Callithrix jacchus: one gene and its partner. The protein of the gene in region 2 purifies or fractionates together with the protein of the main gene of each other region. This does not show direct contact. Links are inferred from orthologs where the notes say so. Each region holds a gene or a part of one and is shown on either strand. Other genes may lie near its edges.

The links.
Region 1: the proteins of PPP1R15A (region 2) and EIF2S1 purify together in Homo sapiens (affinity purification with western blotting; 4 studies listed by BioGRID and IntAct, with this or other methods). This does not show direct contact. The link is inferred for Callithrix jacchus from reciprocal best matches to the Homo sapiens genes PPP1R15A and EIF2S1.

Annotation. Positions count from the first base shown.
Region 1 is NC_133509.1:102,368,813-102,378,936, reverse strand, and holds the end of EIF2S1 (eukaryotic translation initiation factor 2 subunit 1), read right to left. Parts: intron 7,875-10,124; coding exon 7,768-7,874; intron 6,956-7,767; coding exon 6,858-6,955; intron 6,099-6,857; coding exon 5,955-6,098; intron 5,188-5,954; coding exon 5,062-5,187; 3' UTR 4,645-5,061; downstream 1-4,644. Other genes in the region: PLEK2 (pleckstrin-2), read left to right, coding at 270-348, 1,111-1,238. UniProt on the Homo sapiens protein: Member of the eIF2 complex that functions in the early steps of protein synthesis by forming a ternary complex with GTP and initiator tRNA. This complex binds to a 40S ribosomal subunit, followed by mRNA binding to form a 43S pre-initiation complex (43S PIC).
Region 2 is NC_133523.1:42,710,465-42,722,399, reverse strand, and holds PPP1R15A (protein phosphatase 1 regulatory subunit 15A), read right to left. Parts: upstream 7,242-11,935; 5' UTR 7,012-7,241; intron 6,436-7,011; 5' UTR 6,427-6,435; coding exon 4,462-6,426; intron 4,084-4,461; coding exon 3,733-4,083; 3' UTR 3,651-3,732; downstream 1-3,650. Other genes in the region: TULP2 (tubby-related protein 2), read left to right, coding at 766-899; PLEKHA4 (pleckstrin homology domain-containing family A member 4), read left to right, coding at 11,787-11,870. UniProt on the Homo sapiens protein: Recruits the serine/threonine-protein phosphatase PPP1CA to prevents excessive phosphorylation of the translation initiation factor eIF-2A/EIF2S1, thereby reversing the shut-off of protein synthesis initiated by stress-inducible kinases and facilitating recovery of cells from stress.

The DNA of each region.
Region 1 (10,124 bases), on a different chromosome or scaffold from region 2:
TCTCCAGGAATGAAAAGCAGATTTGCAAGTCTCTAAGACTGGTAACTGCAACATTGGTGGGAACTACCGCTACGGGCTGTGAAATGAAGAGGCCCAAGCTTCCTTACTGATACATGCAGCTTTGACCGTGTGATGTCCAAGTTCAGCTTCATCTTTTATTATAAATGATTTGTGCTGAGTTCTTTAGCTGGCCTGAGTTGTAGCAGAAGTACAACTCTTTCCTTTTGTGCACTCACAGATTTCCTAACTGGGTCTCCTTTCCTCTGCAGGAAGAGAACAGGCCAGTGGGTGGGTTTTCTCTTCGTGGTTCACTTGTGTCTGCTCTGGAGGATAATGGTGTTCCCACTGGTAAGGTGCAACTTCAGCCCTGGCCTGAAGATCTCAGAGGCCTCCCTCCTGCACCTCAATAATGCCCTACTGATGAAACAACAGCTTTAGGAGCTAAGCAGGGCTTTCTCAATGAGACAGAGTGGTGTGAGTTTTGAAGTGAATTTCAGAATTGAACAAAGGGTATGTTCTTAGTGTTTTTAAGAATACAGTTAAGTAATCCTTATGTTAATAATCTTTCCCCTCAGTTTCTGTGCTGATGGACCACAAGCTTCTGCCTAAAAATAATAGCTGAGGCTTACACAGTGCTTTAGGATTAATAACATACTTTAATATCTATCTTAACACTAATTTCACAATAGCCAGCCATAGTAAGAAGACATTATTCCCATCTTATGGCTGTGGAATTGGGGTTCCAAAAAGTTAAACAATTTGAGATCAAATTCCAAATTCTGTGCTTGCTGTTAACATAAACATACTGGATTCTTTGGTGTAAATGACATGGTAGATCTATGGCATGCTACCATTTTGAGCATAGGAGCAGGCAAGGGCTACCAGGAATATCCAGACATAACCACTGGCAGGCCTTAGGACACTGGTGAGGGATAGGGAATGGGAGGAAACGGGATATCGTCTGATGGGATTTTCTAACTGTATACCTTTTATTTAAGAAATACATCATTGTATGGTTTTGTCCATGTCTCAGATGACTTTCTTCTGGTTCATTGTGAAAGCAGACATCCTATTCAATCACTGATTTTTTTTTTCTTTTATTCTGCCTAGGGGTTAAAGGGAATGTCCAGGGAAACCTCTTCAAAGTGATTACTAAGGATGACAAACACTATTACATTCAGGCCAGCAGCAAGGTTGAGCGAGTCGAGTGGATTGAAGCTATCAAAAAGCTAACATGACAAGGACCCGAGGAACCAGGATTCTTCCCTCCTACCAGATGACACAGACAGGATTTCCTGGAGAATGGGAGTGTGTTGAGACTTGACTTCTTTGTATGTTTTGTACTTCTTTGGAGGGTGAATGCTGAAGAGTTCCTCGGATTATAAACAGCAGTGGTGCCATTTCCTTCCCCATCTTCATGTTACAACCTGGAAAGGCTAGAACAGCCATTAGGTGTCAGCATCTTGAGTTTTACCCAGCATCACAAACAGCCATTCCCTTGGGCACTAAAATAGTTTCTCTTTGTTGGAACAATTACCCTGGCCATGCCATAATGCTGAATAAAACTCTTCTTATGCAGTTCTCTCTTAACTTCTTTGGAATTAGTAAAAACTGACTTTTGTTTCTGGTTATTGGAATCCTATGCAAAGTTTTATAGTTTTCAAGCAACATTTCAAGCATCTCTGTCCCTAAGACATACTTCATCTTAAAGTGGGGATGGTGGCAAAACTTTGAACATTCAGAGAATATTGTTTTGCTTTGGAAAACAAGTCTGCATAAATATACATTACAGAAGTCATGGACTCTGTCAGAGAACTTAATCACATATACAAAAAATAAATACATAGTTTTTCCATGAAAAATGGGCATTTAGAGATGGAGAGTAAGAGTGTGCTAAAGGACAGAGAAAGATGTAAATGGGGAAGACTTAAATCAAGGCATTGAATTTTGGTTTTAAAATGAACATTAGCTGAGACAAATGGCACCAAGAAATTTTACCAGTGGGGAGGTTAATCTATAGTGAAAAGTCTGTATCATACAATACTTTTACTTTTAAAGAACATTTTTATTATTTTCAAGTTTGTACAGTATCTGGCACAAGTTATTGCCAGCATTCTTGCCAAGTACAAATGCTTGGAACTCCCCTTAATCAACAGATAAATACATAACTTACATTTAAGGGGAGTGGATTACTTCAAAGTGCTTAGGTAAAAATTTGTCCTCTTAGTTTGAACTCTTAATTGTATCTAAAACACTGACCTGAATGAGAAATCTCAAGCTAATGTTTTACTTATTCCTTATATGGTAAGAGACTGACTACCTTTTAAAGTACCATTTTCCATTTGGCATTTCACCAAGGTCTAATGTCCCTGGAATTAGTTTGCTTTGCCTTTTGAATATTGACAGGTGTTTATCTGAATTAAACTACATTTGGCTTGATGGCTTCCTGCATCAAAATTGGCACAAGTATACCTCACTTTGGGAGCTATCAGGATCTCCATGGCTTGGAAAGTAGATGACCATTACCTTGGGGCAAATCAATGAACAAGTCTCAGCAAGGTACTGGCACCTACATTTTAAAAAACTCTCTAGCCATTTTGTTCTTGGTGTAAAAGTAGAATGGCTGGAGTATGGCAGCTGAGAAATGTTCTGCTTAGCGTGATGCAGTGCTTAGCATGTCTCTATGGGTCCGTCTTTGAATATTATGCACTTCAGAACTGGTTTGTCTTGTTTTGCTATAAAACTAATATGAAAAATGATTTGGGCGGGGCATGCTGGATCACACCCTCATGAAGGCAGAGGTGGGAGGATAGCTTGAGCCCAGGATTTTGAGACCTGCCCAGGCACCGTAACACCATTTGCCAGGAAAAAAAAAGGAAGATAAGTGGTTTCAATGTTCAATTTCCTCCTGGCCATCGATTTTCAATTAACTTATGCATAAACGAGACCCAAACTATCACTAATTTTCAGCTATGAGTTGATAGCCACTTGACCTCAATGAAAGGCAGAGTGGGAAATAGATGAAATTGTATTTTAAATGGACTTTGATGGGAGATTCAAGATTTTTGGTTGGTTTTTTTTTGAGACAGGGTCTTGCCTTTTCACCCATGCGGGAGTGCACTGGAGTGATCACAGCTCACTGCAGTCTAAACCTCTTGGCCTCAAGTGATCCTCCGGCCTTGGCTCCCTAAGTGCCAGGATTGCAGGCATGAGCCACCATACCTGGCAGAAATTCAAGATTTGGATGAACTGTTCACTTCTTTGCCAAGCCTATTCTTCAACTTATTTGGAGCTGGGTGTACAACTCGTCCTCATATGTATCTTGTCCCTGCTGTCTTTTAGGTTAGCAAGGTATATGCATGCTTTGTTCTTTTTCTCATGGTATCAGTGAAATATTGATCTTTCTCTAGCTAGGGTCAATTTATAAAATTGTCATGGAACCAAGCAAAAGGCCCACATAGAATAAAAATCACTTACCATGGAAGCCACCAGTATTTTTCAAGTTATGGCTTTTGAAGTATAACAAATTTCAGTAAACAAAATCAAAAGAAAAAAATTCCTCTGTGTACAACAAAGGAGCACCTGTTATATTTTGAATGCATTCTTCATGTTGCCACCTTTATAAACTTGGTTTTTTGATGCTTTGACAGACATAAGTGAAAATTATGTGTCAATCTTAAGTACATCAGTTTTCCTCTACATAGTCTTAATGCAAAATGCTGGCTGGCAATCAGGGCTCTTAGAAACAGCCTTTGGAAGTTAAACTTTTGGATTTCAAAAGCTAGTACAGACTGCTATATTTAACAAAAGGAACAAACCTTCATAAATGATACAAACTATCTGCCCAACACATTCTTCTATTTTCCAGGCCCTTTAACATTGAGTAAAGTCTAATCTTGGACTGACTATGGTGGGTTAGGTCTAATCTAAGTATTTTAATAGTTATCTGGGGATAATGAATAAAATCAAATACAACCGGTACCTCAAGTATCTTAAGAGAATAAATTTATGAAGACAAGTAGACTGAAGCAACTCAAGATTTCCTACACCTGACTAAATAATGTGTTACCTATAAAACTTATTATGTACAAATTAGTTCTTGAAGACAGAAGTAAATGTGGGGAAAAAAAAAAAGCACCGTAAGTGTTCAAGTAGATCCCTGTTTTGTTTTAAAGAACAAGAGCTCTAAGTGGTACCTAGTGGATATTTTAGGAGGAACAAAAATAAAAAACTGGATGATACTCCAACTAAATAAAAAATGCAGCTGCTTTTTACATTTTAAAAACATATTTACCACCCTGAATTATAAACTCAAGGCAAGTAGCTTATTATACCAATAAGGATGTGGTGTGATAAATTCCCTCATGCAAGTTGTCATCAATCTCAAATAGATAAAAGGCACAGAACCAATCTAATTCTTTCATTGCATTTTAAGGCTTTGGCCCTGCAATTAAGGGCCAACTTTCACTGTGGTTAAAGTTAAATTTATTTTCCCTAAACTCTTCTTTTCAAAGGATCTGTTATAGAGATCCTTTATTCACCTGCTCTTATAGTTCCACATCAATGCTAAAATGAAGATAATAGAATTAGGGTCTTAGTACTTAGAATGCTTTTAACTGGTGACAAGAAGGAAGAAGCCTATAGTTAAATATCCCAGAAATTTATTTGATGTTTGCATGAATACATTTTATGTAGAAAGATTGGGATTGTTTGCTTTGGATGCCCCTGGTAAATGTTATGAGGCATTGAATTAGAAAGGGGTGCCAATGTGGAGACATCAGAAATGGAAATCACAAGCCCAATTTTAGAACTATTCTTAAAGATTTGTCTCTAGTGAAATGAGGCCACTCCCTTAAAAATGCTCAAAGTGTTAGAGCTACTGTGAAAACAGCTGACATTTAGGAGGGCATTTCATGTTCTGATCTGTTAGAACATTTAAATACTTGGAAATAAAAAATATTCAGCTTTGAAGTTTTCAATACTGGAAAACTTTCAAGTCTAAGATTTCAGCCAGGAAGGGCTGCTCTGTGTTCCTTATATTGGACTTTGTTCCCCACAAAGTTAATCTTCAGCTTTGGCTTCCATTTCTTCTGCATCATCATCTCCATCCACTTCTGCATTTTCTCTTTCAAGCCTCTCCATCTGCCTTGCGAGTTCAGTCTCATCTGTATCTGTGACCACTTTGGGCTGTGGAAGCAGAGGTATAATTTAAAACTGAAGTAGTAAACACTATACAAATTTAATTTCAATACTATTACTACCTCACGTTTTTTTTCTTTTAACACTTTTCTAACAACTCTCTCATATCTGTTCACTTTTGAGTGCTGACTTGTCACTAACAAATTCCATTAGATAAACAGGTGAAATTTATGAGAACAACAGTATAGAAAAAGATGTATGTATTAAAATGGAAATTTGTTTTTGTCATCTTTATAAGCTAAAACTGAAAACATGAAATAAGCCCAGTGGCTGTATCTTTCAAGTCCACAAAAAGATGGACTCTTCCAGGCTCAAACTACCACTTACTAGCTTATTAGTCCTTTCCACTGAAGGAACCCCCCTCTCTCTCTCTCTTTCTCTCTCTCTTTCTCTCTCTCTTTCTCTCTCTCTCTCTCTCTCTCTCTCACACACACACACACACACACACATTTTTTTTCTTGTTGAGAAAAGGAAAAGACAGGAGACTTTTTTTTCTAATTCTAAGATCAAATTTTAGACATGCCACATCCAAATTCTAACAATAAAAAAACTTCTCATTTATATTGTTTATTCTCTTCCCCCTGGCCAGGGGGTAGGTGATGTGGTGAGGGTGACCCGTAACACCATTAATGGTCAAAGGCTTGAATAACCATCCTACAATATGATATTCCAAGGCCGACAGCTCTTATTTATCTATAAAAACCCCTTTTAGAAACCTCCTGAGACATTATTAAAAACGAATCTATTGATCTCACCTCCATTTGAACATTGAACACACCCCTCTTTTCCTCAATCTTTTCTTTGATAACAGCCATTGCCTGACTGAGGACAGAAAGGCCTTCTGTTCTCTCCAGGGTTGTCGTAGTCATTACATACCGAGGAGGAGCTATTAGATTAATCTAAAAGAGAAAACCAAAAATTCAATTATGAATGTACCTACAGAACCCACAACTATTAGGATGCTTGAGATTTTATTACTCTGCTATATTAACAAATCACCCCAAAATGTGCCAATTCTATAGGACAGTAATTTAGGGTCCTACAGAATTGGCGATTATGTTTTGGGGTGATTTGTTAATGTAGAAAAGTGAATCGATACAGGAATCTAATGCAGTAGTATAAACAGTCCACTGTAACACTGAATAAGAACAATTATAATTTCTGGGTATCTTTGGTAGCTAAATTAACTGCAATTATCATGAGTATAATGGATAATTTGTCTCTAAACTAAACTGATTGAAGAATCTTTCTACAAGATTCTGAGTTATTGCCGTTCAGTTAATTTTATCACTAATGAAAGATTCTGATCAAACCTCATAAAATTTGCATAGGTATAGATGGGAGAAAGTGTTACTCTTTTTAAAGTGCTATCAGTATTTTAGGCACAGCAACTCTTTATCGTAAATGAGGTTTAGCGCAGATGGCTTTCTAACAATAGGAATCTCCATTCACTGTGATAGTAACAGTAGAAACCAAAAAGGCCTAAAGAAAATCACAAACATCTAGAAATATTACTAAGACTCACTGATTAACTTTAAGAGTAAAAAAGCCACTTTTGTTGCAAAGTATGATTTTAAAAAAAAATCAAAACAAAGATCAAAGATCTTATTTGGCTTAGATGGGTAAATCAGCAGGGAAGGAGACAACTGACAACTCACCTTAATGGGCATGGTTTCTGTAGAACAATTCAAACCTGCTCTTAGGGCTTCTTTTACAGCATCAATGCCTTCATAACCATAACAAGCCACTTCAATATCTGTAATTACAAAATTCAGAAGTTGACACCAAAAAATGCAAAAAATATTTAAAAGTTTAAAGAAAATCAAACATGGCAGATATACTAGTATTCAGAGACTTAACCTGAATCCAACCTCTACACTGCAGTTCCTTATTTATAAACTGGAGGTAAGGAGGAGTGTGGTAAAGATGGAATATAACAATAACTACAACTTATCTAAAACAGTTTAGAAACTGCATTATCCTTTGACTCAGAAATTCTGCTTTTAGGAATTTGTCTTGAAGAACATTTGTGTAAATGGGTAAATATGTATAATATAAGGGTGTTAATTTGTAGCTTTTTTTTGTATCTGTGAGAACTGGCACAATCTAGATGTTCATCAAGAGGGGACTGGTTTATGTTAAGGTTTATCTGTTCTATGAAACATTACTCAGAATGAAAAAGGATGAAAAGATTCCTATGTTCTGCATGGAACGGTACCTATAATACACTGGGTAGAAAAGGCTAGATGGAGAAAATCTTGTATAGTATTTGTAAAAATTTGGAATATTTTAAATTATGCACTAACACCAAACAATCAAACCCCCTTTTTTTTAAAAAAGGGCTAACTTTAGGTTAGTTGAACTCACACAACTGTTTCTACTTGTGTTAATACAGAAATCTTATGATTCAGAAGCCAAAATAATTTCTTAAGCTTTTGTTATAAAAAATAAACATTTAGAAAAATTTATAGACGTTGATGTAGCAACATATTCTTTGGTAAGTCTTATTATTTAATAGCTTTTTTGATGCATATAAAATACTGTAAAAACATTTAAAAAATCATTTACCCGCTCGAATTTTGACAGCCTGTGGGGTCAAGCGTCTATTAATATTATTAATGAGTACTTCCCGTTCATCTTCATTCAAATCTAAACTATCCAAAATAGACGGGTCTCTGGTAAAAAAAAAATAAATAACAAAAAGTCAAGATTATATTACTGATAAATGTGAAAGTAAGCACCCTGGAATAATGCATATAATAGTAAAGAAAGCACAGGCTTTAATGTCACAATTAGAGTTCAAATCTTAGCTGTGCACTTACACCCAACTAATTATTAGTGAAATCAAAATTTTAGTGATCCAACTAAAACAAGCAATTTAGTATCTCCTAACACATCTGATATTCTAATATAATTGATTACTTCCATGCAATTAGGTGTCTCTGCCTCAAGGAGTTTATAATCTAGCTTGAAAAGAACAAAAACAGGGAAAAATTTGTAAATGTTAACAGTATATATACTGTGGGCCTCAGGAGAGAAAGGTATTACTTTCTAATGAGGTCAGGAAGGGCTTCATGCAAAAAGTAGTATTTCATCTAAGTGCCACAGGACATGGACCAGGGTCTTATTAACTGGCATGCCTGTTGAATGAGTGAACAAACAAAAATATGAAATAAAGACTAAAAGAGGAGTAGCATTGTAAAAAGCAAAGGCAGAACTATTTTAAGTAAGTTAAGATACAAAGGGCTGGCCACCAGTGGCTCATGCCTGTAATCCCAGCACTTCAGGAGGCTGAGGCAGGAGGATTGCTTGAGACCAGGGGTCTGTAGACCAGCCTGGGCAACAGAACAAGACCTTTGTCTCTATTACAAAGAAAAAAAGAAAGTTATGCCATATGAAAAAGGAATAGGAATAGTATGAGCAAGCATCAGGCTTAATAAGCAAGGGGTCTAGTTAAGGAACAAAAGGCAAGAGAATTTGGGTGGAGGGAACTTTTACTCAGCTAATATAAAGGAACAAGAAGACAAACCAACACAAATGCCCAAGAAACAAGATGACAAACAAACAGAAAATGGGCAAATGAGGTGAACAGATGTTTCACAGAAGAAATACAAATGGTCAATAAACATGAAAAACTGTTGACCCTTCCAATAATCAGGAATATGCAAATCAAAAGATACTATTGGGCATTCGTTAGACTAGAAAAAGAAGAAAAAAAAATCATATGTATTCCAAATTGTGGCAAGGATGAGGGGAAACAGGAATACTTATACAATTGCTAGAGGGAATATAAACTGTAGAATCAATTTGAAGAATAATTTGGTGAAACCAAGTGAGTTTAAAGATATATAATCAATCCTATGTCAATCCTATGACCTAACAACTTCACTCCTAGGTATATACATTAGAAACTCTCAAACAAGTACATATAGAGACATATACAGTATTCATCATAGCACTGTTTGACAAATGGGACAAAAGGGAAAAATTACCTAAACAACTCTTAATAGAGGAACAGATAAAGCATATTCTCACAATGAAATACTATAGAGATTAATATGGATCAGGTGTACATCTATCAATGTGGAAGAATCCTGCTTAATAACAGCCTTATATGTAAAAATGCAAGCAACAAAAAGATACAATAGGTTACATTTTAAATAAAAAATGATTATAGACACATGTGTAGTAAAACAATAAAAACAAATGATATTGACATAAAAATAATTTCAGAATACTGGTTATCACTGATAAGTGAGGGAAACGGGTGTGAAAAGGTAAAACACTGTTTCCAACTACGTCAGAAATTGTATGGAATTTTAAAACATATAAAGAACTAGCATTAGTTAAATCTGGACAGTCCCTACATGAATGAAGCAAGAAAAGAGTGCTAAGGGAAAGGGAATAACACATGCCAAGGCAAGAAGACAGAGGGGATGCTGGAGCTAGAAGTTAAAGAGGTAACTTGGGCCAGATGATGATAGTTAAGACAAGTTAAGAAATGTACTGAGGACTGCAGGACAGAAATATAAAGTGGTGCTTAATGGCTTAGTATAAAATCTGGATGGAGCCAGAATGCATGGGTTTGAATACTGCCTGGCTCTCTTATTTGTTAGCTGTGTGACCTTGTAGAAATTATTTAATCTCAGCTTCAATTTCTTCAACTGTTAAAAAAAAAAGGATAACAGCATTTATACTATTGTTAGAACTATACAAATGTTAGCTATTATCATTACTATACCCACCTTTTCTGCCACGTGAGATTCATATATATATGAGTCACATGAGAATAAACTTGAAGGGATTTAGAACCCCAGATGAGTTGGTTTGCTGGGGACACTTAACAGTCCTGGGTCCTACTAATTCTCTTCTTATTCCCCCTCTACCTCTTAACATTTAGGAAGGAGTGGGAGGTAAAGAGACAC
Region 2 (11,935 bases):
AATGGAAGAGAACTACATTTCCCATCATCACTTGAGCGCTTTTCTAGGCAGGAAGACGCCATGCTGTCGCAAAGCCTCTTGGGAATTGTAGTTTACACAGCCCTCAGGCTTTCTGGTTTAGTAAAGGCCTCCTCTCAGCCTTTTGAAAGTCTCAGTTCTTGGCCTAGTGCGGTGGCTCATGCCTGTAATCCCAGCACTTTGGGAGGCCGAGGCGGGTGGATTACGAGGTCAGGAGTTCGAGAACAGCCTGGCCAATATAGTGAAACCCCCGTCTCTACTAAAAATACAAAAATTAGGTGAGTGTGGTGGCATGCGCCTGTAATCCCAGCTGCTTGGGAGGCTGAGGCAGGAGAATCGCTTGAACCCAGCAGACGGAGGTTGCAGTGAGCCTTGATGGTGCCACTGTACTCCAGCCTGGGTGACAGAGCAAGACTCCATCTCAAAAAAAAAAAAAAAAATTTCAGTTCTCTGCTAGGTGTGGTGGTTCATGCCTGTAATTCTAGCACTTTGGGAGGCTGAGGCAGGTGAATCACCTGCCAAGACCAGCCTGGCCAACATGGTGAAATCCTGTTTCTACTAAAAATACAAAAATTAGCTGGTTGTGGTGGAACACGCCTGTAATCCCAGCTACTTGGGAGCCTGAGGCAGGAGAATTGCTTGAACCTGGGAGGTGGAGGTTGCAGTGAGCCAGCCTGGATGTCTCACTTCTCGAAGGTGGGAGATGAGAGAGTCTGGCTAAGGCTTCCTTCCTGATTTCCTTCTCAGCGGAACGTCTGGTGCTCCAGTTCGGCCGCGTGGCCCCAGACAAATTCACCATGGACTTCTGCTTCCCACTTAGCCCGCTCCAGGCCTTCGCCATATGTTTGTCCAGTTTCAGTGTGAAGCTGGCCATTGAGTAGCAAAATAAAATACCGTATAAAATACCATACCCTTACCAGCTTCTGTGCCTCTTCATTTGGAGGAAGAGCCTTCTTTAGCACCACCCTTAATAATAACCAACACTGGCCAGACGCAGTGGCTCATACCTGTAATCCTAGCACTTTGGGACGCAGAGGTGGGCGGACAGATCACCTGAGGTCAGGAGTTGAAACCAGCCTGTCCAGCCGGGCGCTGTGGCTCACGCCTGTAATCCCAGCACTTTGGGAGGCCGAGGCGGGTGAATCACAAGGTCAAGAGATCGAGACCATCCTGGTCAACATGGTGAAATCCCGTCTCTACTAAAAATGCAAAAAATTAGCTGGGCATGGTGGTGCATGCCTATAGTCCCAGCTACTTGGGAGGCTGAGGAGGAGAATTGCCTGAACCCAGGAGGCGGAGGTTGCGGTGAGCCAAGATCGCACCATTGCACTCCAGCCTGGGTAACAAGAGCGAAACTCCACCTCAAAAAAAAAAAAAAAAAATCGTAACAGTGAGAACATTATGACAGTGAAGGAGACCTGCTCGAACCAACCCCATGCTGCCTGTAATCTCCAAACTGCCCTTCATCACTCCTGGGCTAAGACCAAGCTAACTGTGGGAGACATTTCATTTATAGGTGTTGGCCCAGCAAGGTGGCCCACGCCTGTAATCCCAGCACTTTGAGAGGCTCAGGCGGGCGGATGACAAGGTCAGGAGTTCGAGACCACCCTGGCCAATATGGTGAAACTTCATCTGTACTAAAAATACGAAAAATTAATAATAATAATAATGGTGTCAGGCATGGTGGTGCATGCCTGTAGTCCCAGCTACTCGGGAGGCTGAGGCAGGAGAATTGCTTGAACCGGGGAGGCGGAGTTTGCAGTGGGCTGAGATCACTTCACTGCACTTACAACCTAGGTGACAGAGCGAGACTCTGTCTCAAAAAAAAAAATTTATAGGTGTTCTTTTTTTTGAGATGGAGTCTTGGTCCATCTCGCTGGCTCAAGGAATTCTCCTGCTTCAGCCTCCTGGATAGCTGGAATTACAGGCATGAACCACCAGACCAATCTATTTTTTAAAAACTTTTAGTAGAGTTGGGATTTCACCATTTTGGCCAGGCTCGTCTCAAACTCCTGACCTCAAGTGATCCGTCCACCTTTGCCTCCCAAAGTGCTGGGATTACAGGCACGGGCCACCATGCCCAGGCCTCTAGTTTCTAGTTTAAATGAGAATAACCCTTCCCAAAACTAAGCTGCTTTTGTAAAGCTAATGAAAGACCATCAGGTTAGGAGGATGAGAGGAGCCTGAATTCTGCAAGGTCTAGAGGTAGATTAATACAAAAATTAGCCATGCGTGGTAGGGCATGGCATGCCTGTAATCTTGGGTACTAGGGAGGCTGAGGCAGGAGAATTGCTTGAATTCCGGGTTGCAGTGAGCCAATATCGCACCACTGCACTCCAGCCTGGCGACACAGCAAGACTTGGCCTCAATAACAACAAAAAAGTAAAAATGAGAGGTAGAGGCTGGGTGCAGTAGTGCAGGCCCATGCCTGTAATCCCAGCACTTTCGGAGGCTGAGGTGGGTGGATCACGAGGTCAAGAGTTTGAGACCAGCCTGGTCAACATAGTGAAACCCCGTCGCTACTAAAAATACCAAGAAAATTAGCTGGGTATGGTGGTGCGCCCCTGCAGTCCCTGCTACTCAGGAGGCTGAGGCAGGAGATTCACTTGAACCCCAGGGGGTGGAGGTTGCAGCGAGCCGAGATCAAGCCACTGAATACCAGCCCGGATGACAAATAAAAAACAGTAAAAAAAAAAATTGGAGGTAGATGACTAGTCATTATTCTAGAGGTCACAAGATATGCAATTTCCCCAATTACTTCTGCAGATAACATCACTAATGTTAGAAACAGATGCTCGGTGCTGCAAAGAAAAGTTATCAGAGACAAAGGATCTTTCAGCAACACAAATTTTACCTCCTGAACTGCAGGAAGGGGACCCTCACTAGCCATCTTGCCACAAGAGTATAATGAGCAAATGGAAAGCAAATTGACCCCTTACGAGTCTGGGGTCGTCCTTACTGCTGTGTCTGATCTCCATTGGTTGGAGCCAGACTTCACAATTTAAACTAAAACCCGATTTTAAGGCTAACACCTTAAAACTTTTTCAAAAGGGAAAAGCAATGGAGAGCTGGGACATGCCTGTGAGCACGTCCAGCACAGATATCCTGGTTAAAGTACAAGGACATAGAATGTACTACGTGCCTGTAAGCGTGGCATGTCTGACAGCTACATAGGATAGGGCTTAACAAAGTTATTAGCACACTTATTCTTTTCCTTTTATTTTTTTAAAGTTGGGGTTTCACCATCATGGCCAGACTGGTTTTGAACTCCTGACCTCAGGTTATCCACCCACCTCGACCTCCCAAAGTGCTAGGATTACAGGCGTGAGCTACCATGCCCGGCTAGCACACTTACTTTTTTAAAGAGAACTTTATTTAAAGAGGAACTTTTCTACTTCCCACAGTAAACCTAAGATCAGTAGTGATGGGGTTTCTCCATGTTGACCAGGCTGGTCTCGAACTCCCGACCTCAGGCAATCCACCTGCCTCAGCCTCCCAAAGTACTGGGATTACAGGTGTGAGCCACCCCACCTGGCCTGAGGTGCTTTGTTTTATGCTCTTCTCCCCAGCTACCTTGGGGACCTGTAAGTAGGATGCTATCAGTTTCTGACACACACACAGATACTGCTTGCTACAAATCAAAAGGCTTTATTCCTTATATAAACCCACACTTAGAAAAAATAAATAGTTAAATTATAGGCAAACCAGTTGGTCTTAGCCACGCCTCCCACTGAGGTCCAGGGGAGCTAGACAGGAGGGGGAGGGTGTGGCCACAGCTTGGCTCAAGGGCGTGGCCTGAACTGGGGATGAAGGGACCGAGGAGGAAGGCAAGGTCTCGGTGAGGGCAGGGATGGGGGCTAAAGGTGGGTTCCTGAGGCGTGCCCAGGCTCTGGCCCGGGCAGCAGGGGTGAGGCAGGGGCTCAGCAACTCCTGGGCCTGGGCAATGCGGCGTGCAAAGCGGCTGCGATCCCGGGCAAGCTGTTCCCAGGGGCCCCGGCGGGCGGCGTGGGCAGGCCCTGCCCAGACAGCCAGCAGATGGACGGTGACCTTCTCAGAGAAGCGTACCTGGGGGCAGACATGGGGACACAGAGAGGAAATGCACACAGCCATGGGAATCCGGATGGTGAGGGCGGGGAAGAGAGAGAAGCAAACAAAAATTAATTACACAAAAATGCTCTCTATCTGGCTAGTCACATCCCTGTCACTGTCACAGGAGTCTCCGTCTGACTCACTGAAGGCAGAGGTGGTTTCCTGGGGCTGCCATGAGCCACAGCTGCTTCTTCCTCCCCCAGGGGCCTGCCCTCTTACAAGGGATTGCATGACAGCATACACAGCCCTCCCTATGGAGGTTACATGCAACCCTCTGCAACTACAGGGACCCAGGAGTCAGCCTCCAGCCCCGCTTCTCTCTAAGACTCAAGAATCTGGGCTCTCAGCACCCACCTTTCTGGCCTTTAAGGGAGTCTCAGGGTCCGGATCTCGGGTCGGTGATTCTGGGTGCTTGAGCCGCCTCTGCAGTCGGTGGGGTAGCCCAGGAAGAGCCCAGGGAGGCGGTGACTTCTCTCCGGGTACATAGATGGCCACTCGGAAGGGGCAGGGCTCAGCTTCTCCCCAGTACTCAGTAGCTTCCTCTTCCTCTGTCTCCTTCCCAGGTTGATATACCCAGTCTCTGAAGCGGGCACTCTGGGCTGGGTGGGATGGATGTGGGTTTGACTCAGTTTCTCCCACAGCTGCTTCTGAATCATCTTCCTTATCCTCACTGTCCTCATCCTCATCTTCCTCCTCTGTGTTCTCTCCTGGCCGATACACCCAGGACTTCAGGAAGGCACTTGCAGGGGGTGTGGAAGCGGAAGTCTCAGCTTCTCCCTCATCCTCATCTTCCTCTTCTGTGTCCTCTCCTGGCTGATACACCCAGGACTTCAGGAAGGCACTTGCAGGGGGTGTGGAAGCGGAATTCTCAGCTTCTCCCTCATCCTCATCTTCCTCTTCTGTGTCCTCTCCTGGCTGATACACCCAGGACTTCAGGAAGGCACTTGCAGGGGGTGTGGAAGCGGAATTCTCAGCTTCTCCCTCGTCCTCAGCTGATCCCGTATCACTGTCCTCATCTTCCTCCTCTGTGTCCTCTTCTGGCTGAAACACCCAGGACTTCAAGAAGGTACCTGTAGCAGGAGTGGAAGAGGAACCCTCAGCTCCTCCCTCTTCATCTGATCCAGAGTCACTGTCCTTATCTTCTTCCTCACCTTCCTCTTCCTCTGTGTCCTCTCCTGGCCCATACACCCAGACCTTCAAGAAAGCACTTGAAGGGGATGTGGAAGCGGAAGTCTCAGCTTCTCCCCTGTCCTCAGCTGATCCCGTATCACTGTCCTCATCTTCCGCCTTCTCTTCCTCTTCCTCTGTGTCCTCTCCTGGCTGATATACCCAGGCCTTCGGGAAGGCACTTGTGGCAGGGATGCAGGGAGGATCAGCTCCTCCATCCTTCTCAGCTGCCCCCAAAGCCTTAACCTCACCTTCCTCTTCATCAGTGGGTTGGCACGGCCAAGCCCTGAGCTGGGGCCTCTGAGCTGGGGCTGAGGAGTGTGGCCCTGGGGCAGCTTTTCCTTTCCCAGCTCCTTCGTGTGCCTTTTCCTTCTCCTCGGATGTCTCTCCTGAATGATACTCCCAGGCCGTGGGGTTAGAGCCTGAAGATGGGGGTGACACGGGGGTCTTCCTGGCTCCTTGACTTTTTTCTGTTCTTCCGTCGTCCTCCGTGGCTTGATTCTCTTCTTCCCCTGGGCAAGACACCCAAGCGCTGGGCTTGGATCCTGGAGACAGGGCAGTAGAGGCTCTGCAAGCTTCTTCGTCCTCCTCCTCTACTGCTGAACACTCCCGGTGTGACGGAGGATAAGAGAAACTGTTGACTCCCTCATCTTCAGCAACTCCCTCTTCCTCGGCTTTCTCCTCCCCTGGGTTCTTATCGGAACCTTGCAGGGTCCTTATCAGGAGGCTGGGAGACAGGGGAGCACGCTGGCCATCTGCTAATTGACTTCCCTGCCCTCTAGGGACACTGGTTGCTTCTCGCTCACTATACTTGTCATCGTCATCATCTGAAAGTCCCCAGGCTTCAGGAAGGGAAGTGCTGGTTTTCAGGCCCATCGCTTCTCTGTCCCCTTCAGGGCCTCCACTGTCTTCAGCCTCCTCTTCAGAGTATCTGTCCCAAAGGGTAGCGGGGGTTGTCAGAGGAGTCTCAGCTTCTCCCTCCAGGCCAGCTTCTGCTCCCTTGACTGCTTCTACCAGCCAGGGCTCTGGAGGTCCCGGGCCCCTCAGGCGGCTCCAGGCCCAGCTGAGGAAGCCCATCAGTGGGGACAGGAGGAAGAAAGGATGGGCATCCCTCCAGCCGGCAGCCTGATGGGGTGCTTGGCCTGGGGCCATGTGTCTGGGCTGGAAAAGGGGGAGGAAAAAAATAAAGTTTAGGGGCCATTAAGGAGATGGCATTCGGGCATGACTATGAGTCACAGCAACAAAAATAGTAACACAACTATCATAAACAGCACCGTGAGCCTCTGCCCCAAATTCCTTTCTGATCTCAGCCACTCCCCTCTCTGTCCCTTGGCTCCATTCTCTCTCATCACTCAAGAGCCAGGAATCTGAGCCCCTAGTTCTTCCTTAGATCCAAGGGTCCAAGCCCCCAGCCTCCTCTTTGCTCAGATGCAGAAATCCCAGTCCCAAGAACAAGTCTTTTACTTGCTTCCCTTGCGGACAAGGTCATAGACCCTAGCTCACTCATCCTGCTGAAGATTGACAAGTCAAACCCCCGCACCCTCCCTCTCTTGGAGACTCAAATATTCTGACCCGACCCACCCACTTGCCAGACGATTCCTTCAAGAGGAACCCAAGAATCTGGCTTCCAGATCCCTCCTCCCTCAGACTCAGGACTCCAGGCTCCCAACCCCTTCTCCTCCTTAAATCCGTGCCCCCAGCCCCGTGGAGACCCAGGCGTTTCGACCCCTTACTCACCGGCTGGGGACTGCGCGTCACCCCGGGGGTAGGAGGGCCGGCTCGGGCTGCCAGAAGCGATCCCAGGTCCGGACGGCTAGGAAGGCCAGCGCGTTCATCTCACCCTCAGAGGTTGGGGTCCAGGAACACAGAATATCTATGGCTGCCTCAAGCGCGGGGGCGACAAGCGGGCGCAGGGTCGTGCGACTTCTCGCACGTGAACTACAACTAGGGTAGGAACCAACACAATGAACGCGAAAAGCGTCCGCGAAGATTTTATAGTCTACCGCGCCCCGACGTGTGACGTCACGGGGAGAGGCGGGGTTTCGAGAGCACACCCCGAAGGGTGGGAAGTGAAAGTAAGACAGGACTTCTCGCGGAGATTCCAACTTTGTGACGTCACGGCGGAGTTTCCGATCGTGACCACGCCTCCCAAATAAGCGAACTGTCAATCAAATGCATGGTCCTGCTTCAGCAGCGGGCCAGTTCTCTTAGCTCAGGGCAGATGCCTTCCCACCTCAATTTATTTATCTATTTATTAATTATTTTTTTGAGACGGGATTTTTTTCAACATGTTGGCCAAGCTGGTCTTGAACTCCTGATCTCAGGAGATCCGCGCCCCCTCCCCCCCCCCGCCTCGACCTCCCAAAGTGCTAGGATTACAGGCGTGAGTCACCACTCCAGGCCTAATTATTTATTTACTATTATTATTTTTTGAGGCGAAGTCTCTGTCACCCAGGCTGCAGTGCAATGTCGCGATCTCGGCTCACTGCAACTTCCGCCTCCCAGGTTCAAGCCGTTCTCCGGCCTCAGCATCCCAAGAAGCTGGGGTTACAGGCATGTACCACGACGCCCAGCTAATTTTTTTTTTTTTTTTTGACAAGAGTTTCGCTCTTGTTTCCCAGGCTGGAGTGCAATGGCGCGATCTCGGCTCACCGCAACCTCTGCCTCCTGGGTTCAAGCAATTCTCCTGCCTCAACCTCCCGAGTAGCTGAGCTGGGACTACAGGCGCGCACCACCATGCCCACCTAATTTTTGTATTTTTAGTAGAGACGGGGTTTCACCTTGTTGACCAGGATGGTCTCGATCTCTTGACCTTGTGATCCACCCGCCTCAGCCTCCCAAAATGCTGGGATTACAGGCTTGAGCCACCGCGCCCGGGCTTTTTTTTTTTTTTTTGAGATGGAGTTTCGCTCTTGTTGCCCAGGCTGGAGTGCAATGGCGAAATCTCGGCTCACTGAAACCTCTGCAATTCTCCCAGGTTCAAGCGAGTCTCCTGCCTCAGCCTCCAGAGTGGCTGGGATTACAGGCATGCACTACAACGCCTGGCTAATTTTGTATTTTTAGTAGAGACGAGGTTTCTCCATGCTGGTAAGGCTGGTCTTGAACTCCCAACCTCAGGTGATCTGCCTGCCTCGGCCTCCCAAAGTACTGGGATTGCTGGTGTGAGCCACCTCATCCACCCAGTTTTTGGTATTTTTAATAGAGACGGGTTTCACCCATGTTGCCCAGGCTGGTCTTGAACTCTCGACCTCAGGTGATCCACCTGCCTTGGCTTCCCAAAGTACTAGGATTACAGACATGAGCCATCATGCCTGGCCTATTTATTTATTTTTTGAGAGGGAGTGTTGCTCTCTCACCCAGGCTGGAGTTGGAGTTCATTATCGCCATCTCAGCTCACTACAACCTCAACCTCCGGGTTTCCAGTGATTCTCCTGCCTCAGCCTCTCGAGTAGCTGGGATTACAGGCATGGGTCACAATGCCCGGCTACTTTTTTAATTTTTAGTAGAGACAGCGTTTCACCATGTTGACCAGGCTGGTCTTAAACTCCTGACCTCAGGTGATCTGCCCCCCTTGGTTTCCCAAGGTGCTGGGATTACAGGTGTGAGCCACTGGGCCCAGTCTCCCACCCCAATTTGGCCAGCAGGCCCCACCTAGAGTCTCCTATTTTCACATCCGGTCAGTTTCCTCTCCGAGTGTGAGGGTGTCATTGTTCCCATTTCACAGATGGGGAAACAGGCTTGGAAATGAAGCCAGTTGACCAAGACGGTCCACAGCAGGGTCCAGATTCCTTGCAAATGGGAACAAAGATGTAAGCACTATGAGATCAGGCACTTTGCAGGTCACACTGCTTTTCTTTTTTTTTTAGTTAATTAATTTTTTCAATAGAGACAGGGTCTTCCTATGATGCCCAGGCTGGTCTTGAACTCCTGGTCTCAAGTGATCCTCCTGCCTTGGCCTCCCAAACTACTGGGATTACAGGCATGAGCCACTGCACCTGACCAGGGCTCAGTGCTTTCTTCCCAATGGCTGCAACAATGCCTGCACACAGTAGGTACTCAACAGATGTATGGGGAATGGCGGCTAAAGCAACAGCTCTAATTCCTTCCTGGTCACTGGCACAAGGCTCCACTCCCGGGTTTCATCTGCTTCAGACTTGGGCAGTAGTTCTCCCTCCACAAACCACAGTTCTGCCTGGGCAGCACTCTCCGTGTGATTTGGGGGCTTCTGCTACAAATTCCAGGCTCTCCTCCCAGCTCTGCTCCCCTACGGATGCATAATCTTGTTTTTGTTTTTTTTTTTTTGAGTCGGAGTTTTCGCTGTTGTTACCCAGGCTGGAGTGCAATGGCGCAATCTCGGCTCACTGCAGCCTCGGCCTCCTGGGTTCAAGCAATTCTCCTGCCTCAGCCTCCCTAGTAGCTGGGACTATAGGTGCGCACCACCATGCCCAGATAATTTTTTGTATTTTTAGTAGAGACGGGGTTTCACCATGTTGACCAGGATGATCTCGATCTCTTGACCTCGTGATCCACCCACCTCGGCCTCCCAAAGTGCTGTGATTACAGGCTTGAGCCACCGCACCAGGCCTAATCTTGTTTTTTTTTTTCTTTTGAGACAGAGTCTCGCTCTGTCACCCAGGCAGGAGTGTAGTGGTGTGATCTCGGCTCACTGCAGCCTCTGCCTCCTGGGTTCAAGCGATTCTCCTGCCTCAGACTCTCGAGTAGCTGGGATTACAGGCACCTACCACCACACCTGGCTTTGTATTTTTAGTAGAGACGGGGTTTCGCCATGTTGGCCAGGCTGGTCTTGAACTCCTGACCTCAGGCGATCCACCCGCTTCGGCCTCCCAAAGTGCTGGGATTACAGGTGTGAGCCTCGGCACCCAGCCTAGGTGCATAATCTTGTTCCTCAAAATATACTAAGGAACCACGTCTCCCTCCTGAGGGAGTTGTCCTCAGTCTAGAAGAGAACTGTCACCTGGATTTGAGGTGCAGATTTGGAACTCTCCTTTTCACCCTGCCCTACTGGGACCACCCCGTTTTCTCCCTAGAGGACCTGGAAAAACCATCCCTGGTCCCATCCAATCACAGCCACGCTTCCAGACCCCCAGCTCATTCACAACTCAGGAGTTCTGACTCCTCCTCGGACCTTCTCAGGCACCCAGGAGACTGGATCCCTAACCCAGACGCTCCAGGGCTTTGGAAGTCTGAGTCCCCACCCCTTGCAAGACACAAGCGCCCTCCCTTTAGGACACCAGCGGCCCAGGCCCCCAACCACAGCAAACCCACAGGGGCCAAGGAGTGCAGGCCTCAGGTGCCACTCTCCCAACACTGAGAAGTCCCAGCCTTGGTCCTTAGGGAACCCAGGAATTGGGGGGCCCATAGCGCCTCCCCTCAGCTGTGGGGGCAGCTGAGCCAGGGGTCAGGCTGTAGTGGGGAGGCCAGAAGGGGCGGGGACAGCCGGGATTGGGAGGGGAGAACGGCAGCGTGGGCGGCTGGCAGAGGCAGGGAAAGACCAGCAGAGAGGAAAGAGAAACTGGGAGAGAGAGGAAGGGAGAAAGTGAGAAGGGAAATCGGAAAGAGAAAGGGGAGGAAATGGCAGACGTGGAGAGCCGGAGAGAGAGAGAAAGAGGAAGAGACTGGGTGTGAGGGAGGAAACAGGGTAACAGAGACAGAGAGAAAGAGAGACGGCGAATGAAGGAGAGACTTAAGGAAGAGACCCTGTGAGTCTGGCAATAAAAGGTTTGGACAGAAACAGATTGGAGAGAGAGAGAGAGAGAGAGAGAGAGAGAGAATGAGTGAGAGAGAGACTGGAAGAGATAGAGATCAGCGAGAGACACAGAAGGTGGGACAGGGGGAGAGAGAGAGTGTGTAAAGGAAGAGAGAGGAAGAGAGAGAGAGAAACAGAGAGGCCATAAGAGACAGGAGACAGACAAAAAGTGCGAGTGAGCAGGTGAAGAGAGAGATCTAGTGCGATGAGAGACGGCCGCTGAGAGACAGAGGCGGGAGACTGCCTGGGTGCCCCTTGCCCTGTCATCCGGACCACAGAGCTGGGTAAGTTCCCTGGCTGTGCTGGGAGGGGCTCTCTGGGTGCACATTCCTGGTGCCGCACGACTTGGCTTGGGGAGTTGGCAGGGATGGTTTGGGGGTGCGTGTGGGAGGGCGGGAGACAGGTAGCCGGGAGCAGCAGGAAGGAGGCAGGGAATGGGGAGTCCTTAAGCACAGAGAGGGTCAAATTCCTGTCCCAAGTCCAGTGGGCAGGAATAAAGGAGCCCCTATTCTCCGGCCCGGGCTGCAGACAGCTGCCCCCTCCCACAGCTGCCAGGGCCGCCTACCTCTCTTGGCACCACTCTTGGTATGTGGTCACGGGCCATGGCCTCCCCCAGCCCCCAAGTCCCAAAACAACAGTCTCTTTCTCCTCAGCCTCCTCCGACCTCCAAGCCCCTGACCCCATCTCTGTCCTGCACCCGTCACTGCAGAGACACAGCCCCTTTCTTTCTCTCTTTCAGCCCTCGATGGAGGGGAGCCGACCTCGCAGCAGCCTGAGCCTGGCCAGCAGCGCTTCCACCATCTCCTCACTCAGCAGCCTGAGCCCCAAGGTTCGAGCTTCCTGGCGTGGATGGGGAGGAAAGTGGGGCTCCGGGTCGCCCATCCCTCTCTTTCC